Nothobranchius furzeri: one gene and its partner. The protein of the gene in region 1 binds, or shares a complex with, the protein of each later gene. Links are inferred from orthologs where the notes say so. Each region holds a gene or a part of one and is shown on either strand. Other genes may lie near its edges. The genes, in order: nsun4 and mterf4.

The links.
Region 2: the proteins of nsun4 (region 1) and mterf4 are in contact, whole or in part, in a crystal structure (PDB 4FP9), measured with the Homo sapiens proteins. The link is inferred for Nothobranchius furzeri from reciprocal best matches to the Homo sapiens genes NSUN4 and MTERF4. Residues at the interface, in NP_950245.2 of Homo sapiens: Pro61, Ser62, Arg64, Val65, Leu68, Ser69, Glu70, Arg136, Gly137, Asp138, Ile139, Arg141, Asn367, Leu368, Met369; in NP_872307.2 of Homo sapiens: Tyr267, Glu269, Arg270, Leu271, Gly272, Arg273, Glu311, Glu312, Val315, Phe316, Lys318, Leu319, Arg322, Glu323, Glu326.

What each region holds. Positions count from the first base shown.
Region 1 is NC_091751.1:73,205,280-73,216,309, reverse strand, and holds the start of nsun4 (5-methylcytosine rRNA methyltransferase NSUN4), read right to left. Parts: upstream 5,132-11,030; 5' UTR 5,081-5,131; coding exon 4,985-5,080; intron 4,185-4,984; coding exon 3,971-4,184; intron 1,372-3,970; coding exon 1,221-1,371; intron 1,151-1,220; coding exon 996-1,150; intron 1-995. UniProt on the Homo sapiens protein: Mitochondrial RNA cytosine C(5)-methyltransferase that methylates cytosine to 5-methylcytosine (m5C) in various RNAs, such as rRNAs, mRNAs and some long non-coding RNAs (lncRNAs).
Region 2 is NC_091751.1:55,899,705-55,910,571, reverse strand, and holds mterf4 (transcription termination factor 4, mitochondrial), read right to left. Parts: upstream 6,974-10,867; 5' UTR 6,874-6,973; coding exon 6,850-6,873; intron 6,655-6,849; coding exon 6,228-6,654; intron 6,147-6,227; coding exon 5,962-6,146; intron 845-5,961; coding exon 446-844; 3' UTR 338-445; downstream 1-337. Other genes in the region: pask (PAS domain-containing serine/threonine-protein kinase), read right to left, coding at 7,761-7,927, 8,011-8,160, 8,235-8,368, 8,936-9,135, 9,216-9,350, 9,424-9,549, 9,636-9,803, 9,878-10,020 and 2 more. UniProt on the Homo sapiens protein: Regulator of mitochondrial ribosome biogenesis and translation. Binds to mitochondrial ribosomal RNAs 16S, 12S and 7S and targets NSUN4 RNA methyltransferase to the mitochondrial large ribosomal subunit (39S).

The DNA of each region.
Region 1 (11,030 bases):
TGGAACAGGTGAGCATCACAGTAAACCAGTGGAGCAAACTGAGCTTTAAATATGTTGGTTTGATGCTCTTTTTCTGCTCCAAAACATGAAAGTTAACAGGTGAGATGTTGCATTTTCATTTAAGATAAAATGATATTTTTATTTAGTTGTTGGCCCGTGAGAAAAGATTTAACCTACAGTAAACAGGAAGTGGAAAGGCTGCAGATGGATGACTAGAATAGAAAATCCCTTTATTGTTCCTCAGTGGGGAAAGCTAGACGTCACAGCAGCGATGACACGTATTACAGGAGAAAAAAGGAGAATAAAAAATAAGAAAAATGAATAAACAAGAAAACATAAATCCTGAATAGATTTATAAAATGCTGATTATACCACAAGTAATGAATACCACTGATGCCTTTCTGACTTGCTCGAGTGTAATTTGGTTATTCCACATTTAGTGTTAATGCAGAAATAAGTTTGTTTCCAAATTTAAAGGTTCAAAATTGCATATATGTTGATAAAGAAAATGTGCTAATTTGCGTCACTTTTTCAAAAAATATTAAGTTTGGCCCTCGACTCCGTCCCAGAGTTTCATTTCGGCCCCGTGTGAGTTTGAGTTTGACACCCCTGGTCTACAATCTGCTCTTTAACTGTACTAGTTCCTGCTATTTCAGCTGTTAACTTTATTTTTATGGCTGCTTATACTGAGCCAGGATCATCTGGAGGTTTCTTCCTGTTAAAAGGGAGTTTTCCTCTCCACTGTCGCTGCATGCTTGCTTAGTATGAGGATTGCTGTAAAGACTCTGACACTAGTCAGTGACTCGATGCAACCTGCTGGTTCCTTATATAGGAAACTTGTTACTGACTGGCTTAATGACCTGACCTGTACTGTATGTTTACCATGTGAAGGTCCTTGAGACGACTCTGGTCCTGATTTGGTGCTTTAGAAATAAACTGAATTGAACAGCAGGAGAAAAATCACCACGTAAGAATCTGGTGAGGAGTTCACTCACTGATCAGCTGAGTCTGGAGCAGAGCAAGGGTCTTCCCACCAGGAGCAGCGCAGAGATCCAGGACTGTGTGACCCTTCTGGACATCCAGCGCGAGACAAGGCAGTATGGATGCAGCGTCCATCAGGTAGTACCCCAACAGGCCATACCTGTCCGGCCTTTGATGGATAGAAGGAACTCGGATGAGACTGGACTGGATGATGACACCTGATTAGGACTCATCCTCACCTTGCAGGCTTGAACCGTGTGACATCCCCTCTTGGAAACACGAAGCACTTTAGGTGTGGACTAAGCTGTGGAGGGTACTGCTGCTGACTAAGAAACTCCAGTGATGTCATAGAAACCTCACACGACCCTTCTTCAGCCCCGAATACCAGGCCTGCAGAAAAGATGACAACGGTTCAGCTAATCGCCAAATTTAAACTTTTCAATTCAATTCAGTTTATTTCTGTAGCTCCACATCAGGACCAGTCGTCTCAAGGACCTTCACACAGTAAACACTCCAACACAGGTCAGGTCATTAAAGCTGCTTTCCGGAGGTTTCCTCTTTCAGAAATTATGCATGATTTGTCAGAAATCCGGAAAAGTGATGATCTCATCATGTCCTGTGATGTAATACATGCAATACGTCTTTTTTTTGTTTGCTAAGCACGCCCCCTGCCCGGCAGAGCTCCGTGCAATAGGAAGCTGAGCGCCGACCAGAACTAACCAATAGCGTTAGACTTCTGCTTAGACCTCGGCTGATGCAGAGTTGATGAACTTTTCACGGACAAGTAAGTCTCTAAAACATGAATATGAGAACACAACATGACATGAGAGTAAAACTCGTACAACAACATGTTTTAGCTCCGTTTGTCGCTACAGAAGCACGTTTATAAACAGAAACGTGAAGTCGTCATCTTAAAAAACAGAGGAACAGCAGCTTTGTGTGATACGCTTGTCAGCCACTAGATGGTGCCATCGGATAAGAGAAATACTCCGGAAAGAAGCTTTTAGCCAATCAGTAACAAGTTTCCTATATAAGGAACCAGCAGGTTGCATCGAGTCACTGACTAGTGTCAGAGTCTTTACAGCAATCCTCATACTAAGCAAGCATGCAGCGACAGTGGAGAGGAAAACTCCCTTTTAACAGGAAGAAACCTCCAGATGATCCTGGCTCAGTATAAGCAGCCATCCTCCACGACTCTCACACACACACACACACACACACACACACACACACACACACACACACACACACACACACACACACACACACACACACACACACACACACACACACACACACACACAGACAAAGTAATGTGTCTACAGTTATATTGTGAAGTCTTAGTAAATATTCTATGTGGTGAAAGATAAACTTTATTGTATTTATCCTAGTGGTTCTATAATTAAACGGGTAAACTAGTAGTAGCACATCCAACGTCAAGGACAACAAAAAGTTATTATCAGGAGAGGGAGAATGTTTAAGTGGTTAGCAGCAGTGTGCTAGACGATGGCCCCCTCCATGAGGCCACCACAGCTCAGCAGAACATCGTTGTAGCTTCTTCTGGGGAGAAAAACACTTAGAGAGAAAATAAAGTTAACTGTCGGCTAACTGAGTGCAGCAGCAGAGCAGTCGGATCCAAGCCGACTCGCTATGATTTAAGTAAGTGGTGTAAAAACCAAACACAGGCCTAACTCTGACAGAACCTACAGGCCACCATCAAAATGCCCAAAATGATTGTTTTGCTATTTTTCTTTTTTTATTACAATTTAAACCTGACAAGAATCGCTCCCTGGGCTGTCACCTCACTGTGGAGGGGGGGTTTGAGTCTCAATGATCCTAGGAGCTAAGTGGTCTGAGGCTTAATGCCTCTGGTAGGGTCACCCCTGGCAAACAGGTCCTAGGTGAGCAGCCCACAGACCCTCATGAAGAAAAATGTACAAGGAAACCGCATTCCCTCGCCCAGACGCGGGTCCCTGGGCCCCCCTCTGGAGACAGGCCTGCAGGCAGGGCAAGCTGACGAGCGCCTGGTGGCCAGGCTGAGTACAGCCTGAAGAGGAAACATGGGTCCCACTTCCCTCACCCCTCGTGAGAGGGGCCAGAGGGGTCAGGTGCAATGTGTGACGGGTGGCAGCGGAAGGCGGGGACCTTGGTGGTCTGATCCTCGGCTACGGAAGCTAGCTCTCGGTACGTGGACGGTCTCCTCTCTGGTGGGGAAGGAGCCTGAGTGGTTCTGACTAGATATGCATTAGAACATTTAGGCAGCCTAGTTAACCATCGTCATTTCCCCGTCCAACCCAAAGGGTTCAGATGAAGGCAGCTGGACTTCCTTGGTTTCCTGAAGACGTTTCTCTTCTCATCTGAGGAGCATTGTCAGTTCTAACTGGAATATGGAGGAGTCAAGCTTATAAGTCTGTTGTTGTCTAACGAGCAGAAACTACTCTGAGTACCCCTCCTCTCTACCCCCGATGAGTCGTTGTGTTGGTTAGAGACAGGAAGGTGTGGCCTAGACTGAAACTGCTTAGGAACGAAATCCAAAGCTGCATTACAGGTACTGGAAAGGTGAGATCTAAGCCACGCCCCTATTTAAAGTAGGTTTTTTAATGTTCAACATCGATTGCTTCTTTTACTCCTCTCTCACACCGTCTATCTTCTCTGGAGTGGAGGGGTACTCAGAGTAGTTTCTGCTCGCTGAATAACAGCAGACAGCTACAGCTGATAAGCTTGATTTTCCCATATTCCAGCCTGAACTGACAAAGCTCCTGGGATGAGAAGAGGAACGTCTTCAGGAAACCAAAGAAGTCCAGCTGAACCCTTTGGGATTGTCTAACATGATTTAACTACGTCTTTGTTTGGCGACACATGACTAAACGTGAGCATCTCTCTTCCTGTGCTGCTGAGAAAATGTTCTACCACTTTTGAGCTGCAGGTGAGGGCCACACATGGCCCCCAGGCCACCCTTCAGACCCCCCTTCAGTAAAGGCTCACATACGGTCCTGGTGGCTGATGAAGTCTCTGCATCCCTGAACCTGGAGGTCTTCCAGCACCAGATCGTGGGAGAAACTATTGAGCAGCGCTCCGTACTTCCTCTCTGACAGCAGGGCAACTCGAACCGACGGCCACAGTGGTCCTAGCTGAGCGCCGTAGGAGGAGTCAAAGTGCTGCAGGGCCAGGCGGGTGGGGGGGTGCTTAGGCTGGGTGGCGGCCTGTCCAAAGAGAAACCTAACATTAGTGTGAAATTTGACTTCAGGGTTGCTGTTACTTTACCGGTGTGACCTGTATTTCACCATGGGGACAACCTGAAGCCTCGAACAGTGAGGAGAATCTAGAAAGTTCCTGTCTGCTGGCACAAGATAGTGTCTATGTGTTAGAGAGGCCCCAAACCACAGTGGGATGGCGTCGGTGAGACCCTCCTCATGACATGCCACAACTCCATGGCCGGTTTTGATGCCTCATGTGTGTGTGTGTGTGTGGGGGGGGGCACACTCCCAATCAAGAGATCTAATCCTCCGGTTAAGAGGAGGACGTGGCTCCACACACGGTGCACGTGAGTTTCACCGAGCAGGCAGCCTACAGCACCCAGCATGAAAAACCTTTGGTGTGTTTTTGCTACGGTGGGTTGTAGTACACCTCCACGGCCGCGTGGTGGTGCACGCAGCTGCTTCAGTGTCTGCAGAAGAATAAACACTAAAGGGACTGCGTCCCCCGGTGGACTACATTCAGGCAGTAAGCCACCATGATCAGAATAGTTTCAGAAAAATGACCAAAAACAGAAATACCAAGAACCTACATTTTGTAAAACAGTAAATGTAAAATAGGATGGGCGATGTTAAAGACAGCTCAAGTATAAAACATAAGCAGTGCTTTACTTTTTAAACTAGCCAGCTAGACGTCGTGTTTCAGGCATTATTTATCAGGTGTTTGCTTCCTGAGCAGCGGCACGTCTGTCAAACGCACCGTTCCGCTGCTGTACTAGTTTACGCTGATGTAGGGCTTCGTACCGTACCCATTTCTCTTTCACTCGGTTCCGTCGAGGCGTCAGCCTGATCAGCTCGCAGACTTTTCTAAAGAAAACTGGAAACCTGTTCAAGAGCAGCGCCATGATCCCGTCCGTCAGCTTTTCCAGTCCGGCTCTAATCCTGTGTTCCAAACAAGGTTCCGAGTCGCTCACGCTCCGTCTCCTCAGAAGAGGACTTAGACCATCATTTTTGTGCAATTTTATACAAATATTTTGGTTAGATTTTCATGCCTGGCTTTGTTCTAGTGGGATGCAAATTGCCCCATTTACCTTAAATATGATAATGTTTGGAGTGTTTTTGACAGAAAAGAAAGTTAGTTATGGTGTTAATGTGTTATTAATTTTGTGTAAACAATTTATACATAAATGTCGATTTTTTTCAGACCAAACCAACTCTAGCCTATTGGAAAAACGACTTAAAATTATTAGTTAATCTTTGAATTTAGTCAAAAGGAAAAAGGTTGGTTTGTTTATTTCCTTTGTAGAAGATTTTGAGTTAGTAAATTAATAATCTGTTAATTATGTGACCCCATCTTTAGATTTTATTTTTTATTTTTTTCATATACGTGAAAATGTTTAATATGCATGTAATGATTATCTTTTGAATATATAATGTAAGGTGCATTTTGTTTGTATGTTATCTTCTCTAATAAAAAAAAAGCTCCGTCTCCTCCATTTCCGGTCGGCTCGTTGGTCGCCGGAAGCGTAATTTGGAGCGTTACATGTCCCCATGTCCCGACACATAGATATGTATGTAACATATCTATGTTTACATTAATACATACACATGAATATAAACACAGATATTAATATAAACATATCTATGTTTATATTTATGTGTATATATGAATATAAACATAGATATGTTTATATTAATATCTGTGTTTATATTTATGTGTATATATTAATATAAACATAGATATGTTTATATTAATATCTATGTTTATATTTATGTGTATATATGTTTATATACAATTCTATGTCTGCAATTGTGTCCAAACTCAGGGGCTGCTCTCGAGTAGCGGTCCTCACGGGTCTCAGGAGAACATGTTCTTCCATGACCGGTTAGACCGGATTTAACAGCTTTTGTTTTTATTGCAATTTCTCATGGAAACAACAACAAATATAGCAACATGCAAGGCATGAATCCTAACAGTAAAAAAAAAAGAAAAAACACAAGTTTAAAAAACAAAAAGAGGCACTTGTAAGTGAAAAGTGTTGCAGGATCAAAAACCTGTTAGCAGCAGGACAAATGGCTTCTGCAGCTGCATTGGAGTTTTAATGTGGATAAGAAGAAGACGAAGAAGAAAATATCATTTCTATAGCGCTTCTCAAGATAAAAAATTTTAAATATAAAAATAATTCAGAAAATGATTAAAAATATATTTAAAATGAGCAAAAATAGACAGTTGTGGTTATAAAATGTTAAGAAAGAGAGAGAGTGAACAAGAAAGAGGGAAATCAGTGGATCCTGAGGAAGGTGGAATAGGTGGGGAGAGCAGAACAAGGAGGATGAAGAAGGTCACACCAAAACCTGAACAGGTGAGTCTTCAGCTGCTTTTTAAAGGAGACCACTGAGTCCACTGATCTCAGGCTCAGGGGGAGAGAGGTCCAGAGTCTGGGGGCCACAGCAGCAGATGATCTGTCACCTTTGACCTTTAGCCTGGTGCTGCACGACCAGTAGGGTTTGGTCACTGGACCTCAGGGACCTGCTGGAGGTGTAGGGACTGTAGGTGTAGGGACGGAGAAGATTATAAGAACATACAGAATTCATTTATAAACCAGTTTAAATCTGGCAGTTGTTTATTATTATTATTATTATTATGAATAAATGCAACGTTAATTAAAGATGAAACAATACCGCTTGATTTAGTATTGTAAATAAGAATATGTTCATTTGTAAAATGATCAAGTTCTCTGATTTTATTTGCTAACAACAATGGAGTTCCCCCTAAACGTATCGCTAACAGGACAGCTGACTGATAGGGTTTCTGTCCCTTCAGGGCTTCCGTCCCTTCAGGGCTTCCATGACAGAGGTCGCAAGGGTCAACTTCAAAACCAGATCTACTCCTCAGTGTCTCTGCTGATGGATACGAGCTGTTAACCATCTTGGGCTGCATGGTGGTGCAGTGGTTAGCACTGTTGCCTCGCAGCACGAAGGTTGCAGGTTCAAAACTCGGCTGTGGCCTTTCTGCGTGGAGTTGCGTGTTCTCCCCATGCATGCGTGGGTTTCCTCCGGGTACTCCGGTTCCCCCCACAGATCACAACATGCCCTATAGGTTATAACCTGTACGTCGTTTTGGATAAAAGCGTCTGCTAAATAAATAAACATAAACATCTTAAATTGCATTTCTTTTACTTTGGGTGCTATTGTCCATTTAAAAAAATTAAATGTTTGTCTTGGATTTCCTAATATTTTTAATTCAAACTTTCTATCAAAATCATGATAGAAACATCCTTTAAAGCAGCAGTACTCAATAGGCGGCCCGCGGGCCACCTCCGGCCTGCGAGCCCTCTCTTTGTGGTCCCCAACCCCGCGCGCCCCCGACGGCTGATGGGAGGTTTAGGATAGAGCTGAGGAAAAGAATCAATGCACTGAGATGCGGGCATGAACGATTGTGTGTGAGCGAATGCAAGGCTTAGACACCCACAACCAGAGCCCCAGGCGGGTCTGCTCCCAATAAGGAACCGAGGCAGAGGTAGAGAAAAAAATAACTTCCTGCTCGAAGCGCTCAGTCAGACCGAGGGCTGTGATGTCGGGAGATCCGGTCTTGGGGAGGGGGCGGGGTCAGTGACGGCGGCTGCAGCGTAACCTGTCTCTTATTTAGAGACACGGAGAAGTTACAAGGAGAGAGAAATAAAGACAGAAGTTCTTGTTCCACTTTATTCTTTTGTTCCATGATGATAAACTGATGTTAAATTCAGCTGAAAGAGAAACTGGGAGGGAGCGTTGGTTCATTTTAGGTTACAGGAGGTCTTGTCTCCTACCTGCTCCTCCAGAGACAGCATGGACATGAGGGTCACATGGACATGAGGGTCACATGGACATGAGGGTCACATGGTGAGGGTCACATGGTGAGGGTCACATGGACATGAGGATCACATGGACATGAGGGTCACATGGTGAGGGTCACATGGTGAGGGTCACATGGTGAGGGTCACATGGACATGAGGGTCACATGGACATGAGGGTCACATGGACATGAGGGTCACATGGACTGAGGATCACATGGACATGAGGGTCACATGGACATGAGGGTCACATGGTGAGGGTCACATGGACATGAGGGTCACATGGTGAGGGTCACATGGTGAGGGTCACATGGACATGAGGGTCACATGGACATGAGGGTCACATGGACATGAGGGTCACATGGACATGAGGGTCACATGGTGAGGGTCACATGGTGAGGGTCACATGGACATGAGGGTCACATGGTGAGGGTCACATGGACATGAGGATCACATGGACATGAGGGTCACATGGTGAGGGTCACATGGACATGAGGATCACATGGACATGAGGGTCACATGGACATGAGGGTCACATGGTGAGGGTCACATGGACATGAGGATCACATGGTGAGGGTCACATGGTGAGGATCACATGGACATGAGGGTCACAGGACATGAGGGTCACATGGTGAGGGTCACATGGTGAGGGTCACATGGACATGAGGGTCACATGGTGAGGGTCACATGGTGAGGGTCACATGGACATGAGGGTCACATGGACATGAGGGTCACATGGTGAGGGTCACATGGTGAGGGTCACATGGACATGAGGATCACATGGACATGAGGGTCACATGGTGAGGGTCACATGGACATGAGGGTCACATGGTGAGGATCACATGGACATGAGGGTCACATGGTGAGGGTCCCACAGGGCAGGTTAGACAGGTGTTGTCCTGCTTTATATTGCAAGCTTGTGTGTTGTGTGTTCTACAGCCAGCGACCCACACAGCAGCACCCACCCCGGTCCGACCGGGCCTCTTGCTTCTGGGTCTTTTCTGAGTGGCCCTGGGACCGTTATAATGGAGGACCCCTGCTTTAAAGACTCAGTTTAAACATTTTATTTTCACACTTTCTGTCAGTAACGTTTCTTTCTCCTTTTGTTAAATTAGGATGTTTGGTTTGAACATTAGAGAAGAGTTGCCACCGGGACAGGCTTACAGGTTTTCCTCTATGGGAACGTTGAATGTTGTTAAATTTGTATTTAACATCTCGTGGTTGTAATATTCCACCACTCTAACCAGAATACCAGGCACAAAGAGAATTCCCTGGTCAAACGGCTGCTGGTGGAACAAAAACGTGTCTGAAACAAGTACTCGATTACTCCACAAGGTGGCACTACTGGGGCAAATTATGGGCAAATACATCTTCCGATGATGCAAAAGTTGTTTATGAAACTCAGGTCATGTAAAAGGCATCTTGGTGATTTCCAATCACATTTCAGAAGAAAGTTGAAGCCACCAAACATCTTAAAGACATTGTCTGGAGTTTGAAACCAAATTGGCTTAAATAGAAATTCTTTCAACCACTTTACTTTAAATGTTCCCAGCATTGCTTCAAAACCACTGATTTCACGCCTCCATCGTCACGTTCTTTAACCGACTGAGACAGTGATGAGTGGTTTTATTTCTCCACACAAGTTTGTATAATAGAGTTAATATTGTCCCAGTTTTTGGAGTGATGAAAGAGATGGACGCGGATGAATCAGCTGGGAAAACGCTCGGGCGATATTTTATTTCCTTTCTAACAGGAATTGACATCATTTCTTCACATTCAAACAGTGAAATTAATTCACGTGTTTTCGTGTTCAGATGAAAACCTGCTGCTCTGGAACAAAGTAAACCATCTAGTGCTACCATAGCTTTGTCCCCAACAGTTAAAGTGGTATCATCTGCAAACTGACTTCGGTGAAATTCATCATCAAGAAAATGATACCCTGGAAATTTGGATGATTTATGATCAGGTCTGCTAATAGTTGTGTAGATAAACAGCTCGGGGCTAAATGGGCATCTTATTCCACAGGTTGTATTTATTCTTCTGGTTAGTCCTGAGCTTAAGGAAACGTGCCTGCACACGTCTGAACAGAACATTTTATCACTGAACAACATTTATGATCAAAACCAAAATGTTAGCCGATTTTACGGCTGTGGATTTGGACAGTCTAGTTCCGCCATTTGGAATCAAACTTTATTTAGTAAATCTACAAACAAACATGGGACGTCCCAACCCTAAAGTCAACAGGAGCCGTTCACATCCACTGGTGCATGCAAACGAAGTGAAACTAAAACCATAAATAACAAGTAGAGCACAGCTATGACGTTCATCACATTCAGATATTCATATTTCAGCTAATCTGTTCTAGCTGCTGGCGTGTTTCAGGGACTGTAGAAATGACTGAAATTCAGTTAGAAATCACTGAAGACGGGATGATTTTAAAATGTGTCGTTTATAGATAAAAATGAGGAGTTTATTATAGCAGAGGTCCTTATCTTGAACTTCCAAATACTGTCATGTCTTCACTTTGATCCACATCTGTTTCCACAATAATTGTGTTTTCTGCCGTCCGTAAAGGATGATCTGAAGTTTCTATCTGGCTTTCACAAAACGAGCAGCTGTTGCCATCGACGTGGCGGCCAGGGTTTCTGAAGGGCAGACTGCTCTCATCGTTTTGAAGTGGACTTCTTTAGCGTTGGTGGAACAGCTCGTTGTAGGTAGATGTAAATGATGTCATTTTGTTTGTTTTTCCAGGAAATAAAGATTCATTTAAGGCCGATCTTATTATAAGGTTATTGCATTTTCTGTCAGGTAACAGCAGATATTTAACAGATAAGGGTTGGAATAATATATGTATTATTTCTGCAAAGGGGACCATGTAGATCCATGAAGTGTATAAGACCATCTATGGTTATCTAACCCTTCTTTAGTGATTTGTTTTTGTGTAATATAAATAATTGTAGCGTGGTGTGTAGTTATGTACATATTTGATCATTTCCAGTACAATAACATGTGTTTATGGAAC
Region 2 (10,867 bases), about 17 Mb from region 1:
GGGAGGAGCTTTTCATGCTTTTAAAAGCTCCTCAGGCTGCAGTTTTTATGGTTTCCTGCTTTTAGTTTTGAGTCTGATACATCATACAGCACGAAGAATTTGGGTTTGAAACGATCACAAAAAAATCAGAGCAGTTCAACTCATTTTGTGCAAAGCTGAGTCAAAAGGAGGTGATGACAGCAGACTGCACCGATCACACCTCACATATGGTTCATATACGTGCTGACCTACGCTCCTGCTGACGTCATCACACCTTACACCTCACCTAGATAAACACAAAAATCAATTCCACATCAGGAGGTTCGATCAATTCAATAGAAAAACATAACAGACAGAATGATTCCATGTTTGATTTATTTTAGCATTCTTTGATAAATCAGCTTTAACAGCATTTTCTAATAAATGTGATTAGTTTCTTGATTTTTTTCATGTTCTGTTCTTTCAGCTATTTTTTCTTTCTTCTTTTCTCATATCCACTTCTTCCTTTGGCCTCTTCCTCTTCCTCCTCCTCATCATCCCCATCATCATCTTCATCACTATAAGCTTCAACCCTACCCTGCAGTAACTCTTCTTCCTTACATTCCCTTGCCAAAAGTTTTTGAAAAATATCATACTCCTCTGCCGAGGCCCGAGCAACACTTGAGACAAACGTGTCCTGGTCGACGTTAAGGATGTCACCCAGTTTGGGGTTGATAATCGTTGTCTGTCCTTTTTTATCTGGAGTCTGGTAAAGGCCCCGTCGCTCCAGGAACGTGTGTCGGCAGCGGACGTCATCCAAAGTGAAACGGAACAACCTGAACTTCACCATCTCTGCCTGTTTGACGCCCATTCGGAAGTAGACATACTGTGGAGAAAATTGAATATGTTCTCTTAAAAAAAGATAGAAAAGCATCACATATAATCCATGTACAGCCATTATTGACCACCAGATAGAGCACCATTACATTAGCAAAACCTACATATGACTGTTTAAATCAGCAGCAATGTAGTTGTGTGTTTACAAAAGATCAAGTAATTCCTTATTTTTTGTGTGTGTGTGTGTGTGTGCACAAGTTGGTGGTCAAACTTTTATGACTCATCCTTTGCTGTAATATTTAGTCATGTTTTGAGGAAGTCAATAAATCAGAATTGGTCTACTGTGTAAATTCTAATCAAGTGTGTGACCTTCACATATCAGTCAGAGAATCAACAAATTACGCAGCGATGTGGCATCTATTAACATATTTAGAATACATGTAGGTCATACAGTGCTCAGCATAAATGAGTACACCCCCTTTATAAAGTACAAATTTAATCAGTAGCTCAGTGAACAAAAGAACAATTTCCAGAATTTTCACAAGACTGGGTTTTAGTGAACACTTGTTTAACCCCATAACATGAAATTACGATTAATAATATAACTTAGATCACAAAATCTTCAGCTTTACTAAAATTGGTTGAAGTAAAAATGAATACACCCCGCAACAATGACCACTAGGGATGTGTACTGGTGAAACTCTGACAACACGGTACGTATCACGATACAGGGGAGACAAGACGATATATTGCGATACATTCAGTCAGACGATATTGGCTTTTTTTGCCAACAACGCCAAATGTGGCAAGGTGGAGAAACGAGGGCCAGGGCGGGATTGGATCCCCAGACTCCCGGGTTGGAGTCATGCGTGCTTACCAGTCAGCCAAAGGGACATCCCTTTGGCCAAGTAGCCAGGCCGCATGATCAATCGAGACACAGCGAAAGGATGCCCAAACTGCCACATATTTATTGTTTGTTCATTCAGTTTTATTTATTTATAAGTTCTGATTCTGGACATACCAATGTTAAATAAAAGTTTAACTGTTGCATTTTAAAGGGTGTACTTGCATTATTATGATTAGGGATGGTCTGATCCGACTACATGACCGGAAATCGTCCCGATCACGTGTTTTTATAAAGGATCGGAATCGGGAGAAATAAAATGGATTTAACCTTTTAAAACAACAAACGTGACTTTTTAAATTAATCCTGAGATAGAGATTTTCAAATTAAATAAAAATGATTTAGTTTTAATTTCAGTTAGTTCCTCTACATCAATAATATTTGTTTCTTGTATGAAAACAACTCAGTAACGTCACACAATTTACGGCAGGCAAGGACTCAGCAACTTTGTCGCTCTTCCTAATGACTTTTTGACCCCCCTCAACGACTTTTTTTCCAAAAAGCGCCTAGCGACAAACCTAGCGACATTTCTCAGGACACTGCTACTTTCTGTAGAACTTTCTTGTAGATATTCCCTACAGATTAGCAACAAAGAAACCATTTGCACTCTGAACCGGTCTTCCAGGAGTAAGGAAAGAGAACGATAATCTGCACACGTGCATGAGAACTGACCAATCATAAACCATTTTCGGCTGGGCGAAGACAAAGGTACAGCTGCAGAGCTGGAGACCGCCGACTTACGTCTGCTGCTGCTGCAGGCTCACGCTTCTACTAGAGACAGCACAGGCGTCAACCTGTGATCTCTGGTTCTGCAGCCGTCAGACACTTTGGTTTTTCCTGCATTTGGCAAATAAAGTCAACGGGAGTCTCAACTACCGTCCCGTTTACACACGCAGCGCTGTGGCTCATCTGAATTTCCTTCAGTGACACAGGGATGGTTATACCACGAGACACCCGCTCCCTTTTGCTCGGTGCGCCGTTATTATCACGATGGAGAGAAAACACAACAGAGAAGTTGAGTTGTGAGGTGCAAAAAAAAAACCCCCAGCTTTTTAGGAAAATGTCTGTGAGAATGAGGAGAGCAGGTCTGAGTTATATCCTACAACAGAACTGTTTGGATCACCACACCATATCTGTCTTAATGCCACTTTATTGGTAGTTTTGGAATTTATTTTACATATCAAAGCAATTTGGGCCATTTTAATCATGCTAATTAATAACATTAACACATGAAATAGTTTTTTATTTTCTTCCCTTTTAGTCCTAAAAAGACCAACATGTTTTTAAAATCTTCAGTATATATATATATATATACAGTACATATATATATATATATCTTTTAGATGCTACGGGGAAAATGAAAGCAATGTGGCGTGATGATGACATAAATATGCAAATTAGCATTTGACATCATCTGGCGACATCTGGGTGACTTTCTGGGTCAACTTCAGCTACTTTCTATCAGGGGGAGTTGGCAACACTGAAGCCTGCTAACACAGAGCTAACGTGTCTCCTCAGGAGAGCAGAAATATCTACAGCTTGGTGGTATTTTAAACCGGACAGCAAAGGCAGAGCTACAGACACTTGTAGTGTGTGCATATTGGGCGTTCAACATACTGGAAACAGCTCCATGATTCGCTGCCTTCAAACAAGCTACTTTTGCTGTCGGCTTTTCCCTTCGGGCATCAACAAATCTAATCACCGGTCTCCATTAATCCCCAGTTTACCTCTAACAGTCACAGTTCAATATGAAGTAACCACCTCTTAGTGCAATACTGGCACCAACTGGAAAGGAGTGGGACTGGGAGCGAGAACCTAATTGTCAAATTCTGTCAATATAGAAAACAAAGAAAATAATAATAACAATATTACAGAAATGTTCTGTAGGCCTGGAGTTAAGTTTTAAAGGCACATGTTGCCACCTACTGTCTTGGGGTTTGTAACCCCAAGCCTTTTATGGACAATGGAAAGTAAATTTAAAAGGGTGGGGTGGCCAATCAGATTCCAAAGGTAGCATGTGCTACCCCAGGCCACTCCCTGGACAAGCCCTTGGCACGGGAGCTGTGCACTGACGCTACAGGTGTTATGCAGAGAAAAGTTACCTGCCTGCCAAAGGCTGACCTTCAGCTGCATATTGAGGGAGTAAACAACTTGAAATAGACCCTTTTACTGTTTGTAAACAATATGACGTCAGCGAGAATGCGCGCGCAGCTCGGCAACAGAGAATGGCGTTGTGTCAGGCTTTATCAAGCTACGCTGCGGGGTTATCACCGGCAAATCTTGAATGTTATATTATTAAACTCACTTTAACGAATGGCAACATACTCCCAGATCCCTGTGGCATTACGGAATGGGTGGAAGATGTAGGTGCGTGGGCAGATATCCAGTGGCCCGATATATATACGTTTTTAGTGGAGAGGCCCAGTAAGTACACACGTGAGAAGCTACGGGCATACAAATCGTTAGATGCATACAACTATGTTGTCTGTGGCCACGTACAGAAAGTAAAATATCACGACATAGACTCTGAGTTTTGCGTCTTGAAGGCAGAAGTCCTTCCTAGCCAAAGACAAGGACACGAGACAGCTACGTACGAGGCTTGGGTCAGAGTAAACAAACCAGAGAACTACGTCTTCACAGCCAACTGTACCTGCATGGCAGGGTGAGTATAGCATAGGTTTCTTTTTTTAGCGTGCTCAGAGTACAATCGTGTTAATTTTAGAGAAATACAGTTTATACTAATATGCAGTGGGAAAATACAGATGAATTAGAATGAAATGTTAATTTGAAGCATGAAATAAAGCGTATAAATTTGTTTAATTCTGTCATTTTGATGTTCCAGACTTGGGTCATGCTGCAGCCACGCAGCAGCAATTTTATTCAGAGTTGAGCTTTGTGTTAGGATGGGGAAAACGGAAAAGGCTGCAGTTACCCTTTTGATGGCCTGCAGCCACAGGCGCCTCCGATTTTGTTGAAATGGATGTGCTCCCTTCGGAATTCTGTAAAGGTTCAGTCCACTGCTTGAAGAGAAGCGATTCTGGCATCCATACACGCAACAACCCGACATTTTTATGTGCTCAGAACTTCAAAACAAAGGGTTTAAAACGCTGTTTTAGTATCGAGCGTGAATGAGGAAGCCGTCGCTCTCGTTGCCAGGGTGCGTGCGCAACTTTTGATGACGTAGGTAGTAAAAGGGTCTATTAGAGCAACACTGCTACTTTGAAGTATATTCACAGTAGAAATAAGTTTTTTAATCGGTGTACTTCCTACAAAAATTAAAGTGGACAATTTGAATGTGTTTTCTTCTGATTTTAGTGCTTTCCTGACCCCCCCCCCCCATTTTTTTCTTCTTATTTTAATGCCTTTCTGAAAAGTATCGGATCGGGAGCAAAAAAAACGTGATCGGAATATATCAACATTACATTAGTGGTTATTTTGGTCTCGATAATGTCGACAATAATATTGTTGATCGTCAATAATTTGTTGGACAATATATCGTCCAGCAAAATTTATTATCGTCCCAGGCCTACAGTCACCTGTCTGCTGGACACCTGATTAGACTCACTAGTGGTTGAATGTCTGTTAATTTGAATTTTGTAGAGTGACTTTTCTCCTGAGACTATAATTGGGGTGTACTTATTTTTGCAACATAGGTTTGAATGGATTTGTTAGGAAAATCATTTTTTCGTGTGGGAAAATGAACAAATCTTGTTTGCAATCAATGGCCCACGTTTGTGGGAGTTTTTTTAGTGTGGTATCTCATAGAAAATGTGGATTCTGAAAGGAAACTAAAGGTTTTCTGACAAATGTGGTGGGGTGTACTCACTTATGCTGAGCACTGTATTTTTAACTTCACATACGTATTTCAGTTGTTTTGCAGTAAATGGCCCATACTTCTATAGCGCCTGAGTTCTACAACCCCCCAAAGCGCTTCACAACACAATCAGTCATCCATCCAATCACACACACACATTCACACAGTGGTGATGATGAGCTACAATGTAGCCACAGCTGCCCTGGGGCATGGACAGAGGCGAGCCCTGCCATATACCGGTGCTCCGACCACCACCTGCAGCCAAGGTGGGTTATGTGTCTTGCCCAAAAACACAACAGCAGCAGTCTCTTGTGGGAGCCGGGATTGAACCTGCAACCTTCCGAATACTGGACAACCTGCTCTACCTCCTGAGCTACTGCGGTCCCAATTATGAAGGCCCATCAGTTTCACAAAAATATTTTTGTTCAACTCTGCTCAACTTCCTGACCTGAAACTTGTACTCCAGCTGAAGCAGGTCCTCCAGGACTACTGCTGGTGTGTCCCTGAGGATATCCGTCACCTGCTGGGTGGTAAACAGGCACTTCTCTCGGAGAAACTGCACAACGTTTTTTACTGACTTCACAGGTACAGTCAGGATTTTGGGGTAATGGACCACCATCCTCTGAAGACTTCCTGTCAGACAAATGAGAGGACAGAGACGTGTTTACAGAATCGTGAGCCAGTTTTTCCATTATGTTAAAATGATGACCTCACCTTCGACCAAACCCAGCTTCCTCAGGTGATCTATGCGCTGCTGCAGCAGCGTTTCTTTAACGATGTAAAGGTCTGGACATATGTCCAGCATTTTCTGCACACTTGTGGGGTTGAGGCCCAGGACGAAGAGAACTGTGAGTGTCGATAAAACTCTTTTGACAGAACTTTCTTTTTTAATTTCAAACACAGAGTCACATATGTGCCTCGCCTGGGAATCTGTGAATCCCATTTCAAGCAAAGAGCTGAGGGAGAGCTCGGTTATTGGTTTATCGGATTCAGGAGAACAGTTGTGTTGTGGTGACGCAGCCGTCTTGTGCGGAGGGGAACACAAATACCTGCACTGGATGCATGACAACGGGAGGCGGTATCTCTTAAAGAGAGGACTGAACCCAGAGTAATAGACATTTTTTACAGTCCACCGAAGAACCTATGGAAATAAATCATTATAAACACGTTTGATCTCAAAAGGATAACAATGACATCACTTAAAAAACAATAAAGTTGCACAAGTCAAAATTGTAAATTACAATATGCGACTTTTGGACTAATTATAGCAAAACGTGAATTCCGTCGACTTAAAAACACGTTGTATTCCATAAATTTTAGGTTTTTTTTTACTCACCTGATGTGCTACACGGGTTCCCATTTCTTGTCCGTTACGTATTGTCTTCCGTCAGGATACACGAGTTGCCCTTTTCGTCCGTTGCACATCATCTTCCGTTAGAAAATGACACATAAACGGTTCCGCTATTGGTGGTTAACGTAGCGCGCACTCCCCAAAATGCAAAAGGGAACATATTAAACATGAGAATTACTTATTTACAAATGAAATTTCTGTATTCATTTTCCCAGAACTTTTACAAGCTCTGAAACAATTGTTTTAGTCAATATAGGCATAATTAAAAAAATAAACTCAACACACTTTAATATAAAGCCCCATTTGCCCTATTTACTCACCAATTGTTAGCAGGCAAAGCAAATGCTATTAACTTCATATTGGCGTTTAACTCTAAAGGGTTAAGGTCACTTGATTCGGTTTCTCTGTAAAAAAATGAAAACGGTGCTACAAACTCACAAGAAGTACAAGTCCTTCTATCTTTATTAGCAAGGCAATTCATTCATTAATGTTCAAAAGGCCCAACACATTTGTAGCAGCATAGTGAAGATATTTATTGATGTAAAAAATAAATATAAAAATATTGTAAATATACTTACATGCAGGTAAAATAGAAAAGATTTCAAGATAAATTTGAACAAAAATTACCAAAAAGAAAATGCTACTGTTCATAAAAAATAAAAAACCTAAAAACACTATAAAAGAAAAACAGCTGCAGACAATTCAAAAGTGTCTGATTATGACTGGCAGGCCACACTGTGACGAGTCACAATGCCACTTTGGTTCTAAAACCTTGGTCTACATAGAAGATTTAATTAATATCTTGAATTAAAAGCAAGCTTTTCTTTTGACTTTCACTTTCCTCCCACAGTTGATCAAAAATTATAATAGCCAATTAGATTTCCTTCTCTTTAAATTTAGTCTTCATTCCTCTGGAGGTATTTCTGAAGCTCATTTTGCAGAGCCATCCTCTCGTCCTCATCCTCCTCTTCCTCCTCAGGTAGAGACTCATCTCCATAATCTGGGAACAAGTCTGGTCTGATGTACGCATTAGGACTGGTTTCTTGATGGTGTGATGTGCCTGCTGGAAGAAAAGAATCCCCTTAATAGTTGAAAAAAAAAAGTTGTTGTTAAAAGTGTCTGACCGTGGTGCTGATGAGGACTCACAGAGGCTCTGGTTTGCAGAAACCACCTCTGACCAGCTGTACTCTGAAAGGGAGATGGGCTGGCTTATCCAGGCCTGCAACAGGAGCTGGTCTAAGGTCATCCTCTTTGTGTGATCGGGGTGCAGCAGGCCACGCAGCAGCGCATGCAGTTCTGAGAGTAAACAGAAGGTACATGACTGGAATGCAAAAGGATAAGCTAGCAAAATAATGAATTAAAATATATACCAGAGGACAAGGGGAATGGGGGCTTTAGTTTGGCATCCAGTATTTCCCCCACATCACAGAAAGGGTTCTCACTGAACAGCAGAGTGTATAGTAAAACCCCCAGAGACCACATCTCAAGCTCTGGACCCTTGTAGCTAGAAAAGAGCCCAAAACATGATCAGATAAGGTGATAACATGCATTATAGGAATCATGGTGACATTTTAACAGCAGTTACCAATCTTTAATGACTCAAGTCCATTAGAATATGCAGGAGGTAGCCAGAGAGGAAAGCGAGACTGCAGCATCTTCTGTGACCTTTCGCACATTTGTGATTTCAACATTTACATTAAGCATGGGTAAAACACATGCTAATGAGTATCTACAGAGTGTTTTAACTGGGTAGGAAATTACTGCAGCCATCCCGGTGGTTTTACTTTAGTTCATATTTCATGAAACTGAAGATGGCTTTTTACTTTATGTGTAGTGGGACACAACCTTGCAGCTGTGTACACCCACACATTGTTGTAGACCACATGGGAGCTGATTGACAAAGACAAATTGGAGCGGTTGTTCAATTTTAATGTCCTCAGATAACGCAGATCCAGATGAACCCAGCTAGCTTTTAAAAAACACAAGTTGAACAGTAAAAAGGAAAGTCTTGCTCTTTAACCCATAAAGTCTATAAAACAAAATAAAAAGTAGCTTATTATTAAATACTCACGGATTGCCCTGGAGCACCTCTGGGGAACAGTACTCCATCGTGCCACAGAAATTATAAAAGAGCTTCCCAGGAACCAGTATGGCAGCAGAGCCAAAATCTATCAGTCGAATGTGAAAACATTTGTCAATTATGATGTTTTCATCCTTTATGTCCCTGTGGATGATGTTCTTGCACCTCAGATAGAAAACAGCTGCAACAATCTGGAGGGGAGACAAGAATATCACATTTGCTCTAAGAGCGCCCTTTACCCGTCATTAGTACTGCTGGGACTTTCACACACCTGTCTAAAGATGTAGCTGGTCAGGGGCTCGTCAAGCCTTGGCTGCATGTCGATGAATTCAAAAAGGTCCAAACCATCTCCATGCTTCTCCATCACCATCTGGAAATAACTTCCATTTTCAAACACCTCCAACACCTGGAGAAGGACGAATATTTGTAAAAACAGAGAATTCAATGTCATATTTTCCTCAAAGCAACAATGCAGTTACCTTGACGATGTTATGATGCTGCACTCGAGTCAGTATGGCGATCTCCTGGCTCACTCTGCCCAACATGGGGTCGTCCACCCAGCAGTCACTCACTATCCTGGCCTTGCTAATGAACTTCACTATCACCTGCAAAATGTCCACATCTTTACAATCTCATCGTCTTAAAGAAGCCAAAAAGAAAAAAGCTACAAAGATAAAGCTTGAGCTCTCACTTCTTGTCCGTTACAGCGTCTTATTGCCTTCCAGACAAACCCAAAAGCTCCTTTACCCACAGCTCTGATTGGCTGGTATTCTTCTTCAAACTGTCCGTCGCAGGCTCGAGAGTGCTCGAGGTCCACCGTGGAGCGCAGCACTTCTCCTACACCAGCCTCATCAATCCTCTGATGAAAGAAACAAAGATTAGAACGAGGAACACGATGAGTTCTAATGTGCTGTGGTCACAAGTGCCACTGACCTTTCCTGAACTGTTTCCTGATTGGTTTTGAAGCGATAGATCTGTTTGCAACAACGCCCCCTGCTGGCTAGACCTTTTAATCCACACGCAGAACATGAAACTTCCATCTGGGAGGTTGGACCGGCACACATCACACTGCACCTCTAGATGTAGAGAGGGAAAAATAAGAAACTTTTAGCCCTGCAGTTGTGTTTGAGGTTTTAATGAGTAAAACAGATCAAAAGTAGGAACTTTATTACTAACCTACTCTTGTGCCATCTCTGTGGTATCCACATCCTTCAACTCTTCCCTCCAGTATGCGTGTATGTGAAGATAGAATGTGTTCATTTGCTTTCTGCTTCTTAGGCGTTGACGTGGCAGGCATGTCCGTCAGAGGCCCAACCGCACTGTTCACCTGCCCTGAGCTCTCTTGGCTCTTTGCATTATGAATAACAGACAAAGCTGCCCACTGATCCTGCTCCTGAGCTGGACCTTTCCTCGTCTCTGCGGCGGGGGGAACAGACGCTTCATCATCGTCAGACAGCACCACACATGGAGAAGGTGTTCGTAGGAGCTCAGCTGTATCACAAGACAACGCGGAGTGCTGGTTGTTCCCATTGGAACCTCCGGTGCTGAGCAGCTCCATACTACCACTGAGATTGAGCTCATCCAGAGCACGGGTGATCACATCTCCATCACTGTTGATGTCCAGGAAGCAACTAGCTGAGTTCACAAAATGTTTTGAATTGAACTCGTCTGCTTGGGCAGGATGAGGACCAGCCTGACCAGCGAGATGTTCACAGAAGCCGGAAGAAGCCGATCTGACAGAATATAATTGAATAAACTTAGTCACCAGTGAACTATATGAATTATGCAGAGTAATGTTTGAAGTTTCCATTAACCCCTCACCTGCTATCCAGTGTGATGATCTCAAAGCTTGAGTCTTGGAGGACAGAAGTGTAGGAGTGATGCTCTTTTTCTACATTAACAGCATTGCCCTTACGAGGAGTG